Linked DNA regions of Stegostoma tigrinum. The protein of the gene in region 2 binds, or shares a complex with, the protein of the main gene of each other region. Links are inferred from orthologs where the notes say so. Each region holds a gene or a part of one and is shown on either strand. Other genes may lie near its edges. The genes, in order: pole3, pole and pole4.

Evidence for each region.
Region 1: pole (region 2) and pole3 share a complex: the UniProt entries of both Homo sapiens proteins name them as parts of the DNA polymerase epsilon complex. The link is inferred for Stegostoma tigrinum from reciprocal best matches to the Homo sapiens genes POLE and POLE3.
Region 3: pole (region 2) and pole4 share a complex: the UniProt entries of both Homo sapiens proteins name them as parts of the DNA polymerase epsilon complex. The link is inferred for Stegostoma tigrinum from reciprocal best matches to the Homo sapiens genes POLE and POLE4.

Annotation. Positions count from the first base shown.
Region 1 is NC_081382.1:5,786,678-5,794,079, forward strand, and holds the start of pole3 (DNA polymerase epsilon subunit 3), read right to left. Parts: upstream 3,073-7,402; 5' UTR 3,018-3,072; exon of another isoform or gene 2,996-3,017; intron 2,982-2,995; exon of another isoform or gene 2,786-2,981; intron 674-2,785; 5' UTR 660-673; coding exon 594-659; intron 1-593. UniProt on the Homo sapiens protein: Accessory component of the DNA polymerase epsilon complex. Participates in DNA repair and in chromosomal DNA replication.
Region 2 is NC_081379.1:15,998,008-16,005,600, forward strand, and holds the start of pole (DNA polymerase epsilon catalytic subunit A), read right to left. Parts: upstream 3,046-7,593; 5' UTR 3,019-3,045; coding exon 2,954-3,018; intron 1,306-2,953; coding exon 1,170-1,305; intron 714-1,169; coding exon 633-713; intron 1-632. UniProt on the Homo sapiens protein: Catalytic component of the DNA polymerase epsilon complex. Participates in chromosomal DNA replication.
Region 3 is NC_081383.1:26,171,258-26,178,964, reverse strand, and holds the start of pole4 (DNA polymerase epsilon subunit 4), read right to left. Parts: upstream 3,005-7,707; 5' UTR 2,967-3,004; coding exon 2,781-2,966; intron 1,552-2,780; coding exon 1,467-1,551; intron 352-1,466; coding exon 310-351; intron 1-309. UniProt on the Homo sapiens protein: Accessory component of the DNA polymerase epsilon complex. Participates in DNA repair and in chromosomal DNA replication.

The DNA.
Region 1 (7,402 bases), on a different chromosome or scaffold from region 2:
AATTTCCAAACAGAACATTATTTATTATTCACATAGCCAACATGTTGCAATAGCCTATATTTAAATTTAAGGAACTTACTACATTTTAACTGGGGCATTAACAATGAAGTGTGTGTTCTGGTACTTGACCATCCCCTGATAGCCAATTTCAAATTGTATGTGATATTATAAAAGCAATGTAAAGTGTGTCCTTGTATTGATTATTCACATCATTTCTCCAGATAACAAATGCTGCATTTATTCAAATTATCCTTACTAATAGAAACAGTTCTGAAGGGTCACTTGTCTCAAAACATCAACTCTGCTTTCTCTATTTATGCTTCCAGACCTACTGAGTTTCTCCAGTAATTTGTTTTTGTTTCAGATTTCCAGCATCCATTCATTGTTTTAACTTCAAATGGCAAAATTCTGTCAAGAAAAGTACTTCATTTTATAGTAACTAGTGAACAACTAAGCAGTGAGAATTTCTTTTTAATTCGGAAAATTTATTATCTATCAGATGTTATCATAAGGCATAAAAATATAGTTCACAATCTAGTAGAGTCAACCGCGCAAAATCTGTGATTACAGATGCTTGTCTAATTCACGCTCACCGCCTCTTTAATAATCCTAGTAATGACTGCATTTGGTAGATTCAAGTCTTCCGGTCTCTCAGCCATCTTTCTCACATAAACTACAAATACACAAACAATTCAGTTAGATGTGTTAAAGTCCAGGGCAGCTGAGACATTCCTCAACTCCAAAACTACCATAAAACTACCGGCCAAGATGTAATACCTTGGACAAAGGTCTCAGGAATATGGAAACCTTTGGATGCAAGGTAACATAAGCAATACATGTTTAGCAGTTTGGGCATAGAACATAGAACAGTACAGCACAGAACAGGCCCTTCAGCCCACAATGTTGTGCCGACCATTGATCCTCATGTATGCACCCTCAAATTTCTGTGACCATATACATGTCCAGCAGTCTCTTAAATGACCCCAATGACCTTGCTTCCACAACTGCTGCTGGCAACGCATTCCATGCTCTCACAACTCTCTGCGTAAAGAACCTGCCTCTGACATCCCCTCTATACTTTCCACCAACCAGCTTAAAACTATGACCCCTCGTGCTAGCCATTTCTGCCCTGGGAAATAGTCTCTGGCTATCAACTCTATCTATGCCTCTCATTACCTTGTATACCTCAATTAGGTCCGCTCTCCTCCTCCTTTTCTCCAATGAAAAGAGACCGAGCTCAGTCAACCTCTCTTCATAAGATAAGCCCTCCAGTCCAGACAGCATCCTGGTAAACCTCCTCTGAACCCTCTCCATTGACATCCCCACATCACCAGATGGTCTCAGGTATAAGTTTACCACATATCACTGAGGATACACTTAATACAGAGAATTCCAGACTGGGATGGTTCTACTGCATGAAAATGCCATATTCAGAAGGATTTTGCAGTGGGGATACTGCACTGGGATAAATTTATCATGGGTGTGCCTCTGTACTGGGGTTTTTTCACTATGGGTCAGATCTGTTACAAATTTGAAACACTGGATGCTGTACACATGGGGCAGGGTATCAAAGGGCTGCCAACGTACTTGTACAGTTGTCTTTTGCAAATCCAAAAATCATTTGGGAGATGGGAATTTTAAAAAACACAAAAATACAAAAGAATTCAGCTAAATTATTTAAAGGACAATTAAATATACACTAGCAGCTAGTTTTGAATTGTCAAAATAATTGTGACATATGACTCAAAAAATGTTAAAAAGAAAAACACTTTTTGCTGTCTGCTTACAACCAATGTTCTACTGTATACACTGAAACAGGCCTCTACTTCAGCACCTTTACTGCAGTATGCACGGCGCACTGAAGATTGTCTTAATGAACCATTAAACTGAGGACCCATCTGCCTGCGCACACAGGCACAAGATCCCTGACACTGTTCACAGAAGAGCGGAGAGACACAGTTAACTTTCCTCAGCAAACATCACTGAGAAAAAATTAACTGCTTCCATTGCTTTTTGTCAGTTCCAAATTAGTTGTTGACCTATACATACTTCAAAAATAACTGATGCACTGAGAAATACATTGGGATAGCCCAAGGAAGTGAAAGGATAACAAAAGTATAAACACTGCTCAATCTAAGTTGAGACACCTAACATGCATGTCTCTTCATCCACTTTTCAATCTAACGATCAATATTGATTTAGATTTTATCTAAGCCACCAACTCTGAAAGTGAATTCCATGTGACCACATTATACAAGATGTTTCTTCTGATCTATTGTTTATATTATTTAATTCACATGAATCTCCATGCTCACTCAAAGCCTCAACAGTAGTTACAATTCATGCAGCCCAACACTGTATAGGAACTTTACATTGGATCTTCATTAACCTTGGTAGTGATTCTACATTGAAAAGCTGGCCCAAACAAAAACAAGGCAGATATTTATTTAACAGTCTACACAATCTCCAAAAATTCCATGGGACTTTTCAGACAAAGAAGTGCAACCATCACAGCAAACTCCCACAAACACCAACGGGATAAATAACCAAAGATGCTGGTACAGAGATACATATTGAATAGGACATCAAGGATAGACCCTATTTTCTGTACTGGAAAACTGTGGCATTGAACATGACAGATGAAAGACGCCGTAATCCAAATTTGCCCCTCCGAAAATGCGTCACTGTCTCTCTGGGCTGCTAAACAACCGTACAATGGCCATCTAGTGTTACCGCGCTCCCTCAGCACTGACCCTCCGACAGTGCCCGCTCCCTCAGCACTGACCCTCCGACAGTGCCCGCTCCCTCAGCACTGACCCTCCGGCAGTGCCCGCTCCCTCAGCACTGACCCTCCGGCAATGCCCGCTCCCTCAGGTGGTCAGTTGCCCGGCTCTGCAGACGGCCTAGCCCCGTGCCCTGCCTGAACTGAACCGTCCACAGCCCGCCGCCATGACACTGAGCACCTCATTAGAATAACGGCCACCCACACTCTCACCCCGTCCCTCGCGCGCTCTCACCCGCCAGCAAAAGACGTCCGCAGCCTCCCGCAACCTTTCACCCCTGACCCCCTCCGGAACGCCTGATTGGACGGCTGCTGTGGCGCGTGAGCTCTACCCGCGTCATCTTCCCGCGCTTGGTTACCGAAGGCTGCGGCCTCCAGCCAGAGGCGCCGCCTAAAGGCGCTGGAGAGGAGTTTCACCGCTGCGTGAGTAGTAAGGAAAGTGGTCCAAATTACAAGTGTTATCTCCCAAACTAGTATACCCGGCACTAAGACACTGATCGCTCAAAACTAGCACTGCTGGGTAGGACGTATTCATATTGTCATGACCACGGGTCCCAACCTAAAGTACTGTTAATATTTTTAGCTCATAATTCCGAAGTGGATTTTAAAAGAGAGGCAATCCATAGGGCCATAAGTAGCTGCAGATGTAAATTAATTGACTGACTGGAGAGAAGGATAGCCATGGAATGTCGCACTTAAAGGTGGAAAGGGAACCTTAACCTTTTTCACATACATACAAGAATACACAAAGACAGGGATGTAAAAAGCCTGTTCACTCTGCCAGCATGTGCTCCAGAGGACCTAGGTTCTCGTGTGCCAGTGGGCTGACGTTCCCCTGTGTACGAAGCTCGAATTGAATGTCGGTGCTTTGCAATCATGGATAATGGGAACTGCAGATGCTGGAGAATCCAAGATAATAAAGTGTGAGGCTGGATGAACACAGCAGGCCAAGCAGCATCTCAGGAGCACAAAAGCTGACGTTTCGGGCCTAGACCCTTCATCAGAAAAGGGGGAGGGGGAGAGGATTCTGAAATAAATAGGGAGAGAGGGGGAGGCAATAGGTCAGTCCTGGGAGGACGGACAGGTCAAGGAGGCGGGATGAGATGGTACGTAGGAAATGGAGGTGCGGCTTGAGGTGGGAGGAAGGGATGGGTGAGAGGAAGAACAGGTTAGGGAGGCAGAGACAGGCTGGGCTGGTTTTGGGATGCAGTGGGGGGAGTGGAGATTTTGAAGCTTGTGAATGTTGCAGAAACAGCAACTCATATTCCGCTTGGGAACCCTGCAGCCCAATGGTATCAATGTGGACTTCACAAGCTTCAAAATCTCTCCTTCGCCCACTGCATCCCAAAACCAGCCCAGCCTGTCTCTGCCTCCCTAACCTGTTCTTCCTCTCACCTATCCCTTCCTCCCATCTCAAGCCACATCTCCATTTCTTACCTACTAACCTCATCCCACCTCCTTAACCTGTCCGTCCTCCCCAGACTGACCTATCCCGTCCCCACCTATGCTCTTCTCTCCACCTATCTTCTCCCCTCTCCATCTTCGGTCCGTCTCCCCATCTCTCCCTATTTATTTCAGAACCCTCTCCCCATCCCCCTCTCTGACAAAGGATCTAGGCCCGAAACGTCAGATTTTGTGCTCCTGAGATGCTGCTGGGCCTGCTGTGTTCATCCAGCTCCACACTTTGTTATCTTGCTTTGCAATCATTGTCTAGTTTAATCATTGCAGGTAAAGGGAACCTCTTAATCTGAGTGCTCATTACCAGTAGCTGGGTAGCCAGAGAAAAGTTTGAAAAGACAACAGAAGGACTATATCACCCTGAATGCCGTCATTCATCCACAATCAAAAGGAATCAGAAATACAGGATTTTAATCAACATGCAAATGTAAGACTTGAAACCAACTCTTCAACTTCCAGTGTCAGTGTTGCCAATAAACCCCACTGTCACAGCCATATTATTCAACGTTTTGGGAACAATTAGGAGACAGATCTGAATACAGTAAACTTATTAAGCAGAACCCATGGGACCAGGAGTATGCAGATTAATCAAATATTCTGGTTGATCAAGAGGTTCATCTAATCAATGTAAAAACACACACTTAGTGATTGAAATGTAATGTCGGGTGTCAATGCCCATTATGTGTCTACTCAGGCATTGTGAGGATCACGATAATACAGTTAATTTCAGTTATGTAATTTTTGCCGTTTTATCAAGTGTTGGTTTGTAGGATGCTAGTTAGTACAAAGTTTGCTGTATCTGCTTTTAAAAAATTTTATCTTTTAGATCTCACTTTTTTTCTAACCTGTGTGCTGTTACAAATTCTTGCTTTGAAAACGCAGGTTCATTTGGATCTGGGAGAAAGGCATCTACAAGAGAGAAGATTTGCTTTTAAATTAAACATGTTGAGACCAACATGGCTTGGGTGAATAAAAAAGGAAAAGGCAGTTAATTTTCCCCTGTCTGCTTCTACTTCACCTACGGGCTTAACAAATTGTACAAACTGTCTGGAACCATAACAAGTTGGGGGATCTTGCCAAGGATCCAAGCATAAGAATATGTCGAACACCATTCTTCTGAAATTTCTTTTCTAATTGGAACTCAGTCCTTGGTGTAGAAAATTTGAGAGGATACCTCATTGACAAGGGAATAGTGGTCAGAAATACATTAATATTAATTGTCATAGTGATGGGATCTTTTATTTCCAAATGAAAAGAATGTAGATGTGAGTTTGCTCGCTGAGCTGGAAGGTTAGTTTTCAGACGTTTCGTCACTTTTTTTTAATTGATTTGAAAAAATATACTTTATTCATAGAACATACAAAAAATAAAACATTTATACACCTACCCAGTCATACAAGCTGCTCCGGGTTACCCAGGGGGTACGTGCACCAACTAAAAGGAAAAAACAAAACAAAGGAAAAAAAAAACTAAGCAAAGAAAATACCCCGGCAGTCGTCTCCCCGCACAGTCCCCGTTGGCCCCCTGACCAGTTGGGGAAGGCGCCAGCTGGACCCAGTTACCAGATAGGGCCCTTGTTTCTATTCTGGACGAGGGGTTTCATACGGTGGTCTTTCCCCACCGTGTCTTGCCAGCAGCTGCCCCAAGATTTAGCGCATCCCTCAGCACGTAGTCCTGGACCTTGGAGTGTGCCAGTCTGCAACGCTCGGTCGGGGTCAGTTCTTTCAGCTGGCAGACCAATAAGTTGCGGGCAGACCAAAGAGCATCTTTCACTGCATTGATGGTCCTCCAGGCGCAGTTGATGTTGGTCTCGGTGTGCGTCCCGGGAAACAGCCCGTAGAGCACGGAGTCCCGCGTCACGGAGCTGCTCGGGACGAACCTCGACAAATACCACTGCATCCCCCTCCAGACCTCCTGCACAGACAGTCTCGTCGCCCCCGCAGCCGCCTCAAGGGCAGTGTGCGGTGGTGCAGAGATTCCAGGCATGCATAAAAGATATCACTGGCAGACCCCCTCTCACTGCCAGCCAAGCAATGTCCTTGTGCTTGTTGGAAAGTTCTGGCGATGAGGCATTCTCCCAAACGACTTTGGCAGTCTGCGTGGGGAACCACATGACGGGATCCACCCTCTCCTTTTCCCGAAGGGTCTCAAGAATACTACGTGCTGACCACTGCCTGACAGCCTTGTGGTAAAGGTGTTTCCTTTCAAAAATTTCTCCACGAAGGACAGGTGGTACGGGATGATCCAACTACTCGGAGCGTTCCGCAGCAACGAGGCCAGGCCCATCCTTCGCAACATCGGGGACAGGTAGAACCTCAGTAAGTAGTGACACTTGGTGTTTGCGTACTGAGGATCTACGCACAGTTCGATGCAGCCGCACACAAAGGTAGCCATCAGGGCGAGGGTGGCATTCGGTAAGCCCTTTCCCCCATTTTCCAGGTCTTTGTACATGGTGTCCCTGTGGATCTGGTCCATCCTCGACCCCCAAATGAAGTGGAAGATGGCCCGGGTGACCGCAGCGGCGCAGGTCCAGGGAATAGGCCAGGCCTGCGCCACATACAACAGTACCGAAAGCCCCTCGCACCTGACAACCAGGTTCTTACCCGTGATGGAGAGGGACCGGAGCGTCCACCTTCCCAGCTTCTGCTTCAACTTGGTGATATGCTCCTCCCAGGTCTTAGTGCATGCCCCAGCTCCACCGAACCAAACACCCAGCACCTTCAGGTAGTCTGTCCTGACGGTGAAGGGGATGAAGGAGCGGTCGTCCCAGTTCCCGAAGAACATAGCCTCGCTCTTACCACTGTTGACTTTGGCACCTGAGGCCAGTTCAAACTGGCCACAGATGTCCAACAGCCTACTCACCGACCGACGATCGGTACAGAAGACGGCGACATCGTCCACGTACAGGGAGGTCTTGACCTGAAGGCCTCCGCTGCCCGGGATAGTCACACCCTTCAGGCTCACGTTCTTCCTGATGGATGCGGCGAAGGGCTTCACACAGCACACGAACAAGGCAGGAGAGAGCGGGCAGCCCTGCCTGACTCCATATCTGACGGGAAAAATGTCCAATTCCCACCCGTTGATCGAGACTGCACTAACAATGTTGGTGTAGAGCAGCCGGATCCAATTGCGGATCCCCTCCCCGAACCCCAATTTGGAGAG
Region 2 (7,593 bases):
AACTTGAAGAACTCCTGTGGAGACGTCTTGGCGCTGAGATGACTGACCTCCAACAACCACAAATATCCTACGGTATGACTCTAGGTCTGACTCCAACCAACATGCCCCTGATGCCACATCTGTCAAATGCAGCCTTGATGTCAAAGGCTCTCTCTCTCTCACACCTCACCTCTGGAATTCAGCACTTTTGCCCATGTTTGAACCAAGGCTGCAAAAGAGGACACCAGTTGAGTGGGCATGGTGGAACCTAAACTGGTGCCACTGAGTAGGTTATTACCGAAAAGCTGGTGTATGATAGCACTGTTGATTACATCTTCCATCACTTTACTGTGACATACTCTCTATTTTCCCAGCTGACAGCTGGGAAACATTCAAAAGGCTCAATGCCATTCACCATCAGAGAATAAGAAGCTCACTTGATGCACTCCCCATCCATCATTCGGTCAAAAACCCTAGAGCTCTTTTCGCAACAGCACTTTGGACACAGTTATACCAAATGGACTGCAATGGTTCAAAAAAGCAGATGACAACCACCATCAAGGGCAATTAGGCATGGGCATCAGATAGTCTAGCTAGCAACATGTACATCCCATGAAGGAGAAAAAACAATCCTTACATAAATTGTTACACACCTTGAATCTGCTCCCATCCTCTTCAACAAAATAATAATCCACAGCACTGATCAATCTCTTGTCTTCATCCAGGAGTTCTGCCTGTAAATCAAAATCAGCATAGAGAGCAAATAAATGTGGCAATTTACAAATACCTAAAATAACTGTATACAAATGCATGCAAATTATCATTTCCCCGAACTTGAAAGATTAACGGCACTAAACCACATGGAACATATTTGAGAAACCTACATCATCAATATATCACAATACCAAAATTTAAAAGTACAGCTCTTCCCCAGGTTGCAAGCAGGTTCCATTCTACAGTCCATTCATATGTCAACTGGTATTCAAGTCAAAACACAAATTCAAAATAATAGTTAGATGGTCAATCAAAAGCACAGGAAACGTTTGTATGTCAGATTGTTAAAATTATAGCCCTGTTTCAGATTGTATTTGTAAGGACAAACACTTAAGTCAGGCATTCGTAAATCAGGGCCCCTGCTGGAAAATGGCTGTTTAACTTTGAAACAAGGTTAAGTTAGAAGGATAACTAACTGGGTGCATGTTGATAAGCCAACCAGTCTTCTCGCCTGGATCTTTAAGGCGGTCAAACCCAAATCGTGCATCCATCTCATCTGTCCACTGACTGCGCTCCAGGCGCTTGAGTGCAGGAAGGGAGGAGCCATCCTCACTGCGAGAGCAAAAGCACAAGAGATACCATTAAATCATCTGCAAAAGGGCAGTTTATCACTAACAGATGAATGGACTAATGTTTAATTGCTCCTGCCTCCTTGGACTCAAGGAAATTCCAATCTTGCCCTACAACAATTAACACACTTTAAAAGAACTACAGTGGCTGCAAAATACTTAGGGACATAGGGAGGCCATAGAAAGAATTATAAAAATGTAAATCTTACTTCATTCACATAAAAATTAATTGCCATAATAAATTTGAGTATTCCATTCTGTTTATGACTAATCAACATTAATGTGCTGACGCAAAACAATAAATCAGAGGTTTTATACCTAGAAGCATCAAGAAGTGATAAAAGGTTGTAGACCTGAAACGTTAATAATTCTTTCTTCACTGCTGCTAGCGACACACTCAGTGAAAGAATTTTAAGAAATATTTAATTGGTCATTTCTGTAACTGAAAGAAAAACTTTTTTGTTGCAATCTGTGAAGTTGTGTGAGTAGAGCAGTAGTGCTCAGCTCTTCAAATGCAACACCAATCAAAATGATTTTACTGATCACATTTCTACGCAGTAATGTGACAACTTAGTACAGAAGAGTTTGAGAAGTATTTTAAGAAATCACATTCCCAAGGATCCATACATCAACCCATCATAAACCCTGCTCATATCCTATTCCACAGCTGGCTCCATTGCCCACTTCGGCACAATCGAAAACTCGTTAAAACACATCAGAATGCATTTTATTTGTCTTAAAATTTAGTGTTTTCTTCAACTCTAGAAATTTAAGGAAAGATTACTTTACACATTTTTGATTTAAAAATGCCAATAACAGGCCTGACCTACATCAGAATTAAACAAGCATAATTACAAACAGGCAGCACCAAAACTCACTTCGTAGATTCATAGATAGGCTCATCCGGTTTCTTCGGTGCAACAATATTTCCTTAACTCAAATCAAAAAATAATCCAATGACACTCAAATTATTTAGAAGTCTTCGCACAATCTCACACACCGAAGAGTGCGGCAGAAACAAGATATGTAAATTGCAACATTAAAATGTTTCGTAGATATTGAGACTCGAACGCTAGGCGATTTTTAGTTTCAACAATCAATTGCTGGTAGAGGCAGCACAAAACAAGGTAGCAGTGGAGAACGGAAAGACGAATAACCTACACCTGCCTACTACAATAACAGTGAAATAAGGCAATCAGACCGAACGAGAACACACAACACCAAAAACAAAAAAGTGCTGGAAATCAGATCAGATCGGGCAACATCCTCGGGGAGAGGGCAAGCTAACGTGTCATGTCTAGATGAGCTCTGTACAGTCATCTAGACTCGAAACGTTAGCTTGCTCTCATCCTACAGTGCTCTCTGATTCGCTGCGATTTCCAGCACTTTTTGTTTTCAGTACAAATTCCAGGACCTGAAGTAATTTGCTCCGAGGACACAGCACCAACTGGAAATGTGGTATAGTGAGTGGCCAGCCTGCAACAACTGAAAGGCCTGCTTGATGTCAATGTTATGAACTGCTGGTGTGTTTCTGACTAGAGGCATCCTTCGTCTCCCAGGAACTATAGCTAAAATTTGTTGCTAAGTAGTTATATTCATCGGTACTGGCAACAAACAATGTTGAGACTCACAGATTGCTAGTATCGGCCACCGGCCGTCTCTCAGCTCTTAGCTTCCCACTGTTCTGCAGCACCATGTCTACCGCTCATTCACTCAATTCGCGCGCTCTAGTATCTCTCGCGAGATCTGGCATTAGCATCACCGCGAGATCTTACCACGCGCATACTGACTGGACAATATCGGAAGGTTTCTGATTTGATGAAAGAGCGGAACGAGCATATTGACCCCGCCCACTTCATACCGTACGTCTGAGAGTAAAAGGGCAGCTTGGTGAAAGAAATCTTCATTGGAAGGAAAGGCATCTTATTGATAGCTGTCTGCACTCATTTCAGTGACAGGTTTTACCTCCCTGATTTGGCTACAGACATTGATTGTTCAATTAGTGGTGTTTGGATTGTTTTGAATTTGTGAATGGCCGCAGTATAAGGATGAGGACTCATAATCCGCCTTTTCTTGAAAAATAAAATCAGACAACACTGGAAATAACCAGTGGGTCACACAGCAACTGCCAAACGAGAAACAGCGCAGAATCATTTTTTCAGGTCGTTGGGACATCATGTTGCAGCTGGATAGGGTGTCGGTGAGGTTACTTTTGGAGCACTGTGTACAGTTCTGGTTGCTCTGCTACAGGAAGGATCTTATTTAATTGGAGAGGGTTCAGAAAAGACTTTCAAGGGTGTTAGGGGTACTGGAGAGTTTGCATTATATTGAGAGGCTGGAAAGCCTGGGACGTTTTTCACTAGAGCATTGGCAGTTGAGGAGTGACCTTATAAAGTCATGAGGGGCGTAGATAAGGTAAATAGTGCAGTGATTGTAACAGGCAGACGTCATTGAATATGAGTTCCCTGATTGGGATGGTTAACCTGGTCAAATCAAGGGGCTCGGGCTGACATGTATAAATAAGAATGACAGATGTTCTGTTCACTCGAGAGCTGCAACAGTATCAAGGATTCTCTACATATAAGTAAAGGGTGATTTGGTGACAGCACATCAGCCTCTGTGGAGGTATTTCAGTGGCGAGAAGAGATAAGCACGCTCCTGAAGAAATTTACTTGCAACAGTCATCTTTGAGTTGGGGCAAGCATTTCTGGCATTGTACCATTATTTTGGAAGCTTCACTCATTTGATCCTGCCATCAAAGACTGGACCTAGAATCTGGAAAGTATGTGTTTTTTTTTCCAGGCAGTGACATTGGGGCAGATGAAAAGCAAAGAGTGATTCTCCTGACAGCTTGTGGACCTGCAGCTTTTTTGGTTATTAAATTTGAAAACTTTTCAAAGGTTTTAGTATCTGTTGCCACTTTTAAAGTGGACATCATGCCTATTTCTGTGCAAGAGATTTCTATCATCTCAGCATGTCTGTGGTGATTCTTCATTCAAATTTTTCCTGTTTTCTGCTCTTGCTCCCATTTGACTTCAAGTAGAAACTAATCCTGTTGAAAGACATTTTTAAATCTGTTTCCACCTGTGATTCAGGCAGCAACTTGCTGTATTAATTTTAAGTTTTTTAAAAAATCTCTTAAGTGATCTTTTTGCCAATTATTCTAGCTGTGTAGCCTTCAGTTCCTGAACTTCTTGCTAGTGCAAGCAGTTTCAGTCTACTCTGTCAAAAACTGACATAGTTGTGGGGTTGTACAGCATGGAAACAGGCCATTCAGTCCAATTCCTCCATGCTGACCAGATGTCCAAAATTAATCTAGTCCCAATTGCCAGAATTTGTCCCAGGATCCAGGCTGGACACCATTGTAGGTTTTGCCATGGACCTGAAACAGCAAAAATGTACCACTAAACCTAAATGTAGAATGTGAATTCATAGGCTAATATCCAAGAGAGTGGACAGCCTAGAAAGTCTAACTAGGTCTGGTTTGTAACAGTTAAATTTCTTGTCAACATCCAAATCAGATCCAATCAAAATAAATATTTGGTTAAATGGTCACCTGCCTCTAATGGAGCTTGATATTGGTTCAGCCATTTCAGTGATCACAGAATCAGTCTTTAACAAAATTTGCTCTAGTCTCAACTCATAAATCTGCACAAGTCCTCAAATAGACTGAGAACCTTTATAGATTAAGGGTACAACATTGGTTCCAGTCTCTTATGAAAAACAGCTGGTTCAGTTACCACTGCTTGTAGTAAAAGGCTTGGGCCCAAGCCTGATGCAGTGAAATTGTTTGAGAACGATTCACTTAGTTTGGCTCAACATTTCTTGATTAGAAAATGGCAGGCTGAATGAAGTCTGAAATACCCAGAGGATGTTCAGGAAGGTCTAGGCACTATTGAAGGTGACCAGCGAGCAATTCCATGATTTGCAAAATCCGCCCAGTGCCACTTGCCTTGTGGGCAAAAATAGATGCAGAAATCAGAAGGCTGGAAAGTGAAGGAATCATCAAATCAGTCCAGTTTGCAGAATGGGCAGTACCGATAGTGAAGCCCAATGGGTCAGTTTACCTTTGTGGGGATTTTAAACAAATGGTAAACTGCTTTTTGCAGCTGGATAAATACCCACTCCCTCACATAAAGAACTTATATGCATAGTTGGTGTTAGGGTTGGGGGGATCATGTCCTTTACATGGACATGAACCATGTATACTTGCAATTGCAGTTAGGTGAGAATTCCCAGAAGTATGCTACTATTAATACCCATAAGGGTTTGTACCAATATGAGAGACTGCCATATGGAGTATCTTCAGCCTGTGCAACTTTTCAGTGGACAATGGAGAACATTGTATGAGGTCTACCCCAGGCTGCCTTTTATCTAAATGATGATCTAATAACAGGGAAGACCAGTTAGGAGCACTTAGAGAACTTGGACATAGTCCAATGTTTCTCCAAGACAGATATATGCCTTAGAAGGGAAAAATGCATGTTCCAGGCCCCCAAGTGACCTACTTGGTCAACAGAGTCAACAAGACTGGGCTGTACATGTTGGAAGATGAAGTGAGTGTGATCAAAGGTACCCCAGCTCCCATGTCTGTACCAAAGCTTAGATGTTTCATTGGGCTGGTGAATTATCACTGAAAGTTCATGCATAACTTGGACTCCATTCTTGCACCTTTGCAACAACTCTTCAAAAAGGGTCAACCTTGGAAATGGTTGTGTAGCCCAACTGTAGCTTTTGGGAAATAAATAAACAGCTATTGCTATCTATGGTGTTGGCACACAATTATCCCAAGCAAGCTTTGCTATTGACATTGATGCCTCCCTGTAAGGCATCGGGGTAGTGTAGGCTAGGCTAATGAAGAGGAACACCCAGTAGCGTTTGCATCCAGGACTTTAGCTAATGCAAAGTGTAAAAACACTCAAAAGGAAGTTACAGCAGTCATATTTGGAGTAGGAAGTTGCATCAATACCATTACGGATGTAAATTTGTGATAATAATGGACCACAAATCCCTCAGGCCGAATTCAGCAGTGGGCTCTAATACTAAACATGTATAATTACAAGTTCGAGCACTGTCCAGGAGCCAAATAGCAAATGCAGATGGTTTTGGACGCTTCCTACTGGCAGATGCACTGCTGGTGGTACTGCCACTAGAAGAGTCCATAATAGTTTTAAATTTTCTGGACACATTTCTAGACACAACTGACAGTATCAGACTTTGAATGCAGGAAGATTGGCAAAATTGCAACAGCTGGTGGTGATGGGAGAAACCAAAGGTAGTCACAACCAGAATTTAAATGATTTTGGACCCAGAGAGAGCAGATTGCAGTACAGGATGACGTTATTATGGGAGCAAGAGTGGTTACACCTGAGCAAAGGTTGCTGCCCAATACTGGGTGAACTCCACCAGGGTCATTCAGGGGTTTCCAAAATGAAGACAGTAGCAAGCACTTATGTCTGGTGGCCAGACTAGATGCAGATAGCTGCATTGGTGAGGCAGTGCCCAGAGTGCCAACAAGGACAAAAATTACTGCCAGCAGCTCCCCACATTTGTGAATATGGCCAGGTAAGCCCTGGACTCATGTCGAGTATGCAGTATCCTTGGCTCAATGTTCTTAGTCATTGTGGATGCCCACTCAAAGTGGCTGGGCATGCATAAAGCTCATTTGTCAAACAAGGGGTTAACAAAAACTGCACGCATCTTTTGCAAAGCAAGGACTCCTGGAAGTGTTGATCACAGATGATAGGCCATCGTTTACCAACAGGGAAGTTGAGTATTTCCTAAGATCAAATGATATTCATCACATAAGGACAGCTCCATATCATCCATCATCCAATGGTCTGGTAGAAAGAGCAGTCCAAACTTTGAAGACAGGCTTAAAGCTTAAAGAAACAGCCTACAGCTTCACTTGATATCAAACTGTCCTGGTTCTTATTTGAATATAGGACCACTCCTGCACCCCCCCCCCCCCCCCCAACATCCCATTCAACTACAGGGATAGCTCCACCAGAGTTGGGGGAGGTTGAAACAGTATCAGGAATGCCAGGGCTGGACACAAGACTCTGCTAAGCAATAGAGACAATTTACTTCAGGGAACAAAGTTTGATGTATGAACCACGGGAATAATCCTGCATGGGTAAGAGACATAGTTGACTTGAGGTCAGGTCCAGTGATGTACAGAGTTTGGATAGGATTCATGATCCTGAAAAAGCACATGGACTTTATGAAAGCTGCAAACTTGTAAATGGTGCAGGAGCGAAATGTGTTCAGC
Region 3 (7,707 bases), on a different chromosome or scaffold from region 2:
GAATGAATAAAAATGGTCCCGACAATTTGATTAAAGGTGCTTTTAAAAATAGATTAGAAAAGTAATTGAGTGAATGGAGGGTACATTGTATTAATGCAATAATTGTTCATGTGAAAGATTAACAACAGTCTTGACAGACTGTGGAAGTCAACTAGTTTCAGCCTTCACATCAGTAGCTCGACTCAAGGTAATTCTATCTGCTGCACCTTGCAGCGGCAGTGCCTTCTCCACTGGTGTAGGAAGGACTGACAGGAGAAAACAACAAAACAAAACAACGTTATGGCTGTTAAATAAGGAGGAAGGACTCACCTTCCAAAAATGCAAATTCATCTGTAACATCAACTGCATTGTCTGAAAGAGAAATAAAAATACAATATCTAGCAACTTTGACAACTTCCAAACAAACCAACAATTGACTATTTCATCACTGCAGTCCCACCTTCACACAAGATTAGCTCAGCACTTAAATGATTTGTATGTAAATATAGGAAGTATGATTAGCAAGTTACAAATGACATCAAAATTAGCCGTGTACTGTACAGTGAAGAAGGTTACCTATGAGTACAACAGGACCTTGATTAGACAGGCGGAGGAATGGCAGATAAAGTTTAATCTAGATAAATGTGAGGACCTTATACTTTTAATGGTAAGGTCCTGGGAAATGATGCCGAACAAGGAGACTTGCACAGAGCAGTTTCATTGTTCCTCGAAAGTGGAGTCACAGGTAGACAAGGTGACGAAGGTGGCATTTGATACACATGTCTTTATTGATCAGTGCATCGAGTATAGGAGCTGGGAGATCGTGTTGCAGCAGACAGGACGTGGATTAGGCCACTTTTGGAGTACTGCATTCAGTTGTGGTCTCCCTCCTATAGGAGGCATATTGTGCAACTTGAAAGGGTTTACAAGGATGTTGTCAAGGATGGAGTGTTTGGGTTGTACGGGGAGCCTGAATAGGCTGGGGCTATTTTCCTTCGAATGTCAGAGGCTGAGGGGTGACGTTATAGAGGTTTATAAAATGATGAGGGACATGGATAGGGTGAATAGTCAAGGTCTTTTCCCTAGGATAAGCGAGTCCAAAACTAGAGGGCATTGGTTTAAGGCGAGGGGAAAGATTTGAGGAGGACCAAAGAGGCAACTTTTTCATGCAGAGGGTGACGCACCTATGGAATGAATTCCCAGAGTCAGTGGAGGAGCTTGGTACAATTACAACATTTTAAAGGCATTTAATGGGTATAAGAAAAGGAAGGGTTGAGGGGGGATTTGGGCCAAATGCTGGCAAATGGAACTAGATTAATTTAGGATATCTGGTCTCCATGGATGAGTTGGACCGAAGAGTTTGATTCCATGCTGTACTTTTCTATGACTCTGACTTGAAAACACAGCCACTCACATACATTGTAATGCAAAGACCTTTTTAATGCTGGCAAAAACAGTCTGGAATAACAAACCGCTGACAGACTCACCCACATCCTTTCGTTGGATGGTTTTACGCTTGCCCCGCAAAGCAAATGAGTATGCATCCTTCGCAATCACTTCAACAAAAAGTTCCTTTGGGAGAAACCAAATACAGTGTTCAGTCACTGTAGTACCCAGGTTGCTCAGTATACACTCACTCTCTCCAGGAACCCAGTATACTGCTCCAGTTCTCATACAGCTCTCATCTCTGTCCTGAGCAGGAGTAGCATTTCCTCCCAGTGTTTCTCTCCACAATGAGGAAAGTTGCTTTTGCCTCATTATTAAACAATAAACAGATGCCAAGATACTAGTTTCCTTAAGAGTTAAACTAAATTAAAGTATTCTTATGCAAGACAATCATTGTCACCGTCATCAGGGATTAAATGATCCAGAATCCAGCTCCATGTCTGTTTTTGCCCCGTATCCCTTAAAATTATTGACCTAGATTTAAAAATATTTAAAATCTAAATGTTTAAAAGCGTCACAAACTGGTGCAGAAAATAATCATGAAAGCTAATTCTTGCCTTTATATCTACAGGACTAGAGTACATGAATGCAGAAGTTAACACTTCTAAACAAAAAGGGTGGTACATGTTTGGAATTCTCTATCACAAACTGCAGTGGACGCTGAATCGTTGTTAATTTCAAATGTGAAACAGGCAACTTTTTGTTAAGCAGTGGTATTATGGGATACAGGCCAAAGACAGGTAGACAGATTTAGGTCACAGATCAGCCACAATCTTACAGAGTGGTGGGGCAGGCTTAAGGAGCTGAATGGCCTCTAACTTATTTCTATAACTGCTTGGAGGTGGGGGTCAAAACTTCAACTACCCTTGTATGTCAATAGGTATCATTACTTTTCAAAAGTCTGGCTCTACGGCTTTGATTATGCCCTCTAATCTGGTGGCATCTATGGAGGGGGGTGGCGGGGAACATCACTTTAATAACTCTTCAAAAAAAAATGCAGCAACGTTTGGTTTTTATTTTAGTGGTCACACTTCTAGAATAAAGGATGTTTAGTTCATTATTATTTTTCTTCAAGGAATAGCTACACCGAAGAAGATCTGAAGTGTCCAGTATTTTACGTTTATCCTTATCTCTACTCGTAATTTACCCCTGGAGATTACTGTGGTAAATATACTATGTACCCTCACCAAGTAGCCCTGAGCTCAGCACCAAACAAGAAACACGGGCAACGACCGAGCGAACTGTCCCCGCGAGGGCAGTCCGGCCACACTGACTGTTACGGCCTGGAGCGGTGGTGGTGGTGGCAGGGGAGGGAGCTGGGTGGTGGTCGGGGAAGCCGCCATTCACTCACACACCGTGGCCTTGCCGATGGCGAACACAGCCTCCTGACTCGCCAGCGAGACATCGGGATCAGCTTTCATCAGCCCCTTGATCCGGCTCAGCGGCAGCCGCAGCAGTTTATGCTGTAGGCCCAGCCTGTCCACCTCGGCCTCCAACTGTAGGCTCTGGCCCGGCTCCACTCCACTCTCGCGCTCCTCCATCAGCCGCCTTCCCGCCACGCCGCCTGCCGCCCCCAACAACCACCAATCAGAACGCGAAGTCACCCCTCCACCAATCACAGCAAGCATAGGCGGGCCAGTCACGACACTGGACAGAAGCACCAATCACAACACAGTACAGTAACGCCAATCATCAAAGGGCGCGCAAACAGTCCAATAGCACGACTGGGGGAAGGGGTGTGGTCCAATCAGATGGTGCAACATGAACTTTTCTACCCAATCAATCGGCTGCAATTAGGGGCAAAGCTCAGTTACAAGAAGGGACCATGCTGGAGATTCTCAACAGCCGTTGCCAGATGTGATGAGTGCTTCCAGCATTCACAGTTCTTTTTCTTTGTTTAAAGCACAGCAAAGTAGAGACGTTTTGGTTCATTAAGTTTGCCGACCAGGCTATATTGATCCCACTTTCCAGCACTTCCCTCGTAGTGGGAGGTGATGGCCTAGTGATAGTATCACTAGCCGATTAATCCAGAGACCCAGGTAATGTTCTGGGCAATTTAAAAAATTTGGAATTGTATGTCTAGTTATGACAATGAACCGTTGTTGATTGTCAGGCAAACAAAAGGGAAAGAAACTGTAATCCTTATCTGGTCTGCAGTCTCCATGTGACTCCAGATCCACAGTAATGTTGTTGACTCTGAACTGCCAATGGTAATGATTGTTGGTGTAGCCCACATCCTCTGAATGAATTGGAAAAAATAGCCTGGAGTGTTATGACGTTTCAGTTGCTTATCCAAGCATTTTTGAAGGTTGAAACAAAAACTGAAGTTGCCTGTAAAGCTTAGCAGGTCTGTGATGAGAAATCAGAGTCATCCTTTCAAGTTTGGTGACCTTACCTCAGAATTGACAGTGGCTAGCAAAATGTCTCTGTTTAGTCTCCTTCAACAGTTAGTCACTATCCTAGTGAGATCGTTATCCACTTCATTGTCCAATTGTTCTTCTCACTCTTTAGGCCCTATTCCCACTTATCATTTATTCCCTACACCCTCCCCCACACTATCTACTGCATATAAAATAACATTTTCTTAGCTATCATCTGTTCTGAGGAAGGGTCACAGGACTGGAAAAATTATGCTGATTTTTGCTTCATAGATGTTGCCAGACCTCCTAAGCTTTTCCAGCAATTTCTGTTTTTGTTTCTGATTTACAGCATGCACAGTTCTTTCCATTTTTAAAAGTTGTGAGATTTCCCATCTTTTCTTCTCTCCCAGTCTGTGCATTTGAGGTTTCCATCACCCTCTGAGTGAAAAATGTTTTTCCTCAAATCCCTAAAGCTCCTGCCCTGTATCTTAAAATTATGGCCCTTTGCCATTGATCCTTCAGTTAAGGAGAACAGCTGCTTACCCACCCTGTCGATGCCCCTCGTAACCTCATATGTCTTAATCATGTCCCCCCCTCAACCTTCTCTGCTCTGTAAAAAATGACTTGAGCCCATCCAATCTCTTGTCGTAGCTAAAATGCTCTAACCCATGCAAGATCCTGATAAATCTCCTCTGCGCTCCCTCCATTGTAGTCACATACTCACAAAGAAGTGAATTAATACTTGCTTCTGCAGTGCTCAGAATGGAAGAGGTTGATTGGGCTTAAAGTTGTAAATTGTGGCTGAATGCACTCCAAGAGTGTCCTGGAAATGTTGATCTTAAATCCTTGGAGATTCCAGGACTCTCTTGGAGGGATGATAATTTTGTCCTAGGTCAAGACAGATTGGTAAAGGGTGATGTAGATTGTTTCATGTTCAAGGTGGAGTTTAGAGCAATCAGATATCGATGTTGAGGTTGCTTCCGAGTAGTTGGTCTCACATCTGTGAAGGCTGGAATGCAGTGCTCTCATACCTGTCCCAGAACACCAACTTTGATTCCAAAATGGAGAACACACTGGCCTAGGCTACACTGTTGAGACTGGAGAATGATTCTGTCTGAAATGAAGCTGTTGTACACCATTGGTCTCTACAAGGAGGAAAATAATTCCTTCTTGTAGAATTTGCAGTACTTTAGCAGGTTATTCAGCCTACTGTGTTGAAAGTTTTCAATAATTTCCACTGCCCAGTTCTTTCTCCTCAGCGCTGAGATTTATTATTTTTAAAAATACCTTATGAGGAAAGTGAAGTTTTGGCATTTGCATTCCAAGTCAGGAACATAGTGTGATGCTCATCAGACTAACGCACATCAAATCAGAACACACTGACGCTGCAGTTAAAGTTAGTCATTCTTCTGAAAAGCTAGATGAGATAAAATGAATTTTATATCTACTTTTCAGAATTCCTTGTGCTCTGTAATTCAGTATTAACTGCCCATTTCCATAATCTGTGGCCTTCTGGGTGAAAGTCGCTCTTTAACTCCATTGCTTGTTCACTGTGAGCGCAATTACATCCACAAGAAGCCTTCCCAATACACAGTGCGCCATTTTGTCTTGCAGTAAGAATAGTATTATTAGATTAAGATGAGCATTGGACAGATATCTTTCAACTGCTGGGAAATACATGATCATACATCTATTGCCAAAAGGGCAGTTTGTTGTGTGCAAGGAAGGGCGTTAGAGTGAATTCCAAACACAGCTTCCAGTGGAAGGGGTGTTACAAATCATTAACCAATGGTGCATGGAGCATGAGGGTTTTTATTCCATGGTGTTGGAAGAATTGGAGCGAATTGAAAGAAGTAGTAGTTCTCTAATCTTACCTACTTTGTCCGGTCAGTTATGTTCTAATAATGGCATGCAATCTTGAGATATCCAGAACCACTGACATCTCCCCACACAAGGCTATTATGACCCGTTCCATTCTTTTTCTTTCTGTGAATACCTCATTGTCATTCCCTGCACGTGATCTGTCCCATTAATACCTGTGAGTTAGCATCTGAGAAAAAAAAAAATAGATCTTTACTTTGGTCTTTTGGCTACCAGGGAAATGGATGGAACTATTGTTTTATAATGGAGTTAGTTATAAGTTACTCAGTGCTTGGAAATAATTCTGCCTTGTCTGCTCCTGGTCCTGCAGAAGCAAAATGAAAGGGGATGATTAACTGAATTTAACACATTGACGGATGGTGCAAGAAAATTCAATAGCCTGCTTCCTCTCCAAGTTGGCTTTTAATTTATGCAGCAACAACTTACTTCCCATCACCCCACCCAACATAATTTACCCCTTCTTCACAGGAGTAATGCTCCTGTTGCTCATTATTTTACAAATTAGATGAGTTACAAATCACTTGAGAGTGGCCCACTCAATAAGTTCAGGTACATATCTGAATTATCTCTTTCTATTCTGTTGAAAATTTGTCTAGGTAAAATTCTTGTTTCTGATGCTTCTGTATAAGTTGTCAAATCAACCTGGATGCTGGGTTCACCCTGAACACATGGCTCAGGCTGGGTTCACTATCTCGTCTGACACAAGTGTTTGGCCCAGAGAGACAAAGACAGAAAGTTAAGCATAAGGTGGGGGCAAGAATACTTGAGTTCACAAATCACACTATAGTGGGCAAAATAGAGAACAACAACAATTCATACTTATGTAGCATATTTAACAAATTAAAATGTCTCTTCACCGGTGCATTATAAAACAGACAGGCATACACATGGATGCATATACATACAAGCACTGTACTTTGCAGTAGCAATGGGACATACACACACAAACCTCTATGTTCCTCCTGCTGTGGCCTTTTGCGCATCCCAAATACCATCTACAAGATGCTCTGCAGTAATTCACCAAGCCTCCTTCGTTAACACTTTCCAAATATATGACTGCTATCACCTAGAAGGACAAGGGCAGCAGCTATATGGAGCACCTACACCTGCAAGTTCTCCTCCAAGCCAAACCATTCTGACTTAGAGCTACATTGCTGTTCCTTCACAGTTGCTGGGTTAAAATCCTGGAACTCTCTTTCTAACTGCACTGTAGTGGTCCCGACATCATACAGGGGGGGCTTCAGTGGCTCAAGAAGGTGGCTCACCACCACCTTTTCAAAAACTGTTAGGGGTTGACAATAAATGCTGGCCTAGCCAATGACACTCACACTGCGAACAAATTTTAAAAATCACTTTGCTCCACAATAGATGGCAATGCTCTAAGGTTTTGGAGTAGATCTGTAGCTTGGGTTGTGGGCGTTGAGGTTGGTTGGCTCACTGAACTGTTTTGTTGTTCTGCAGACGTTTTGTTACTGTGCTGGGTAACATCCTCAGTGCAGCCTCTGATGAAGCGTCGGTGTGTTTTCCTGCCTGGTTTTTAAACTCTGGGGTCCGTTATGATGGATTGCCTCACTTCTGACATGTTCACAGTTGACGCATGGTCGTGACAAGATCTTCTTCAGTTAAATACGTTGCCACCAATGCTTCTTTAAGTATTAGAAGGATGAGCCACAGATCAGTAGTAGGTTATGATTTATTACATAATAGTGGGGAAGTGATGGTGTTATCACTGGACTGTTAATCCAGAGACATAGATAACATTCTAGGGACCCAGGTTCAAATCTTGCCACTGCAGATGGTGGAATTTGAATTTAATAAATATCTGGAATTAAGAATCTAATGATTACAGTGAATCCATTGTCAATTAGAGGAAAAACCCATCTGGTTCACTAATGCCCTTTAGGGAAGGAAACTGCCATTCTTACCTGGTCTGGCCTACATGTGACTCCAGCCGCACGGCAACGTGGTTGACACTTAACTGCTGTCTGGGAAATTAGGATTGGGCAATAAATGCTGCCTAGCCAGTGATGCCCCTCATCCC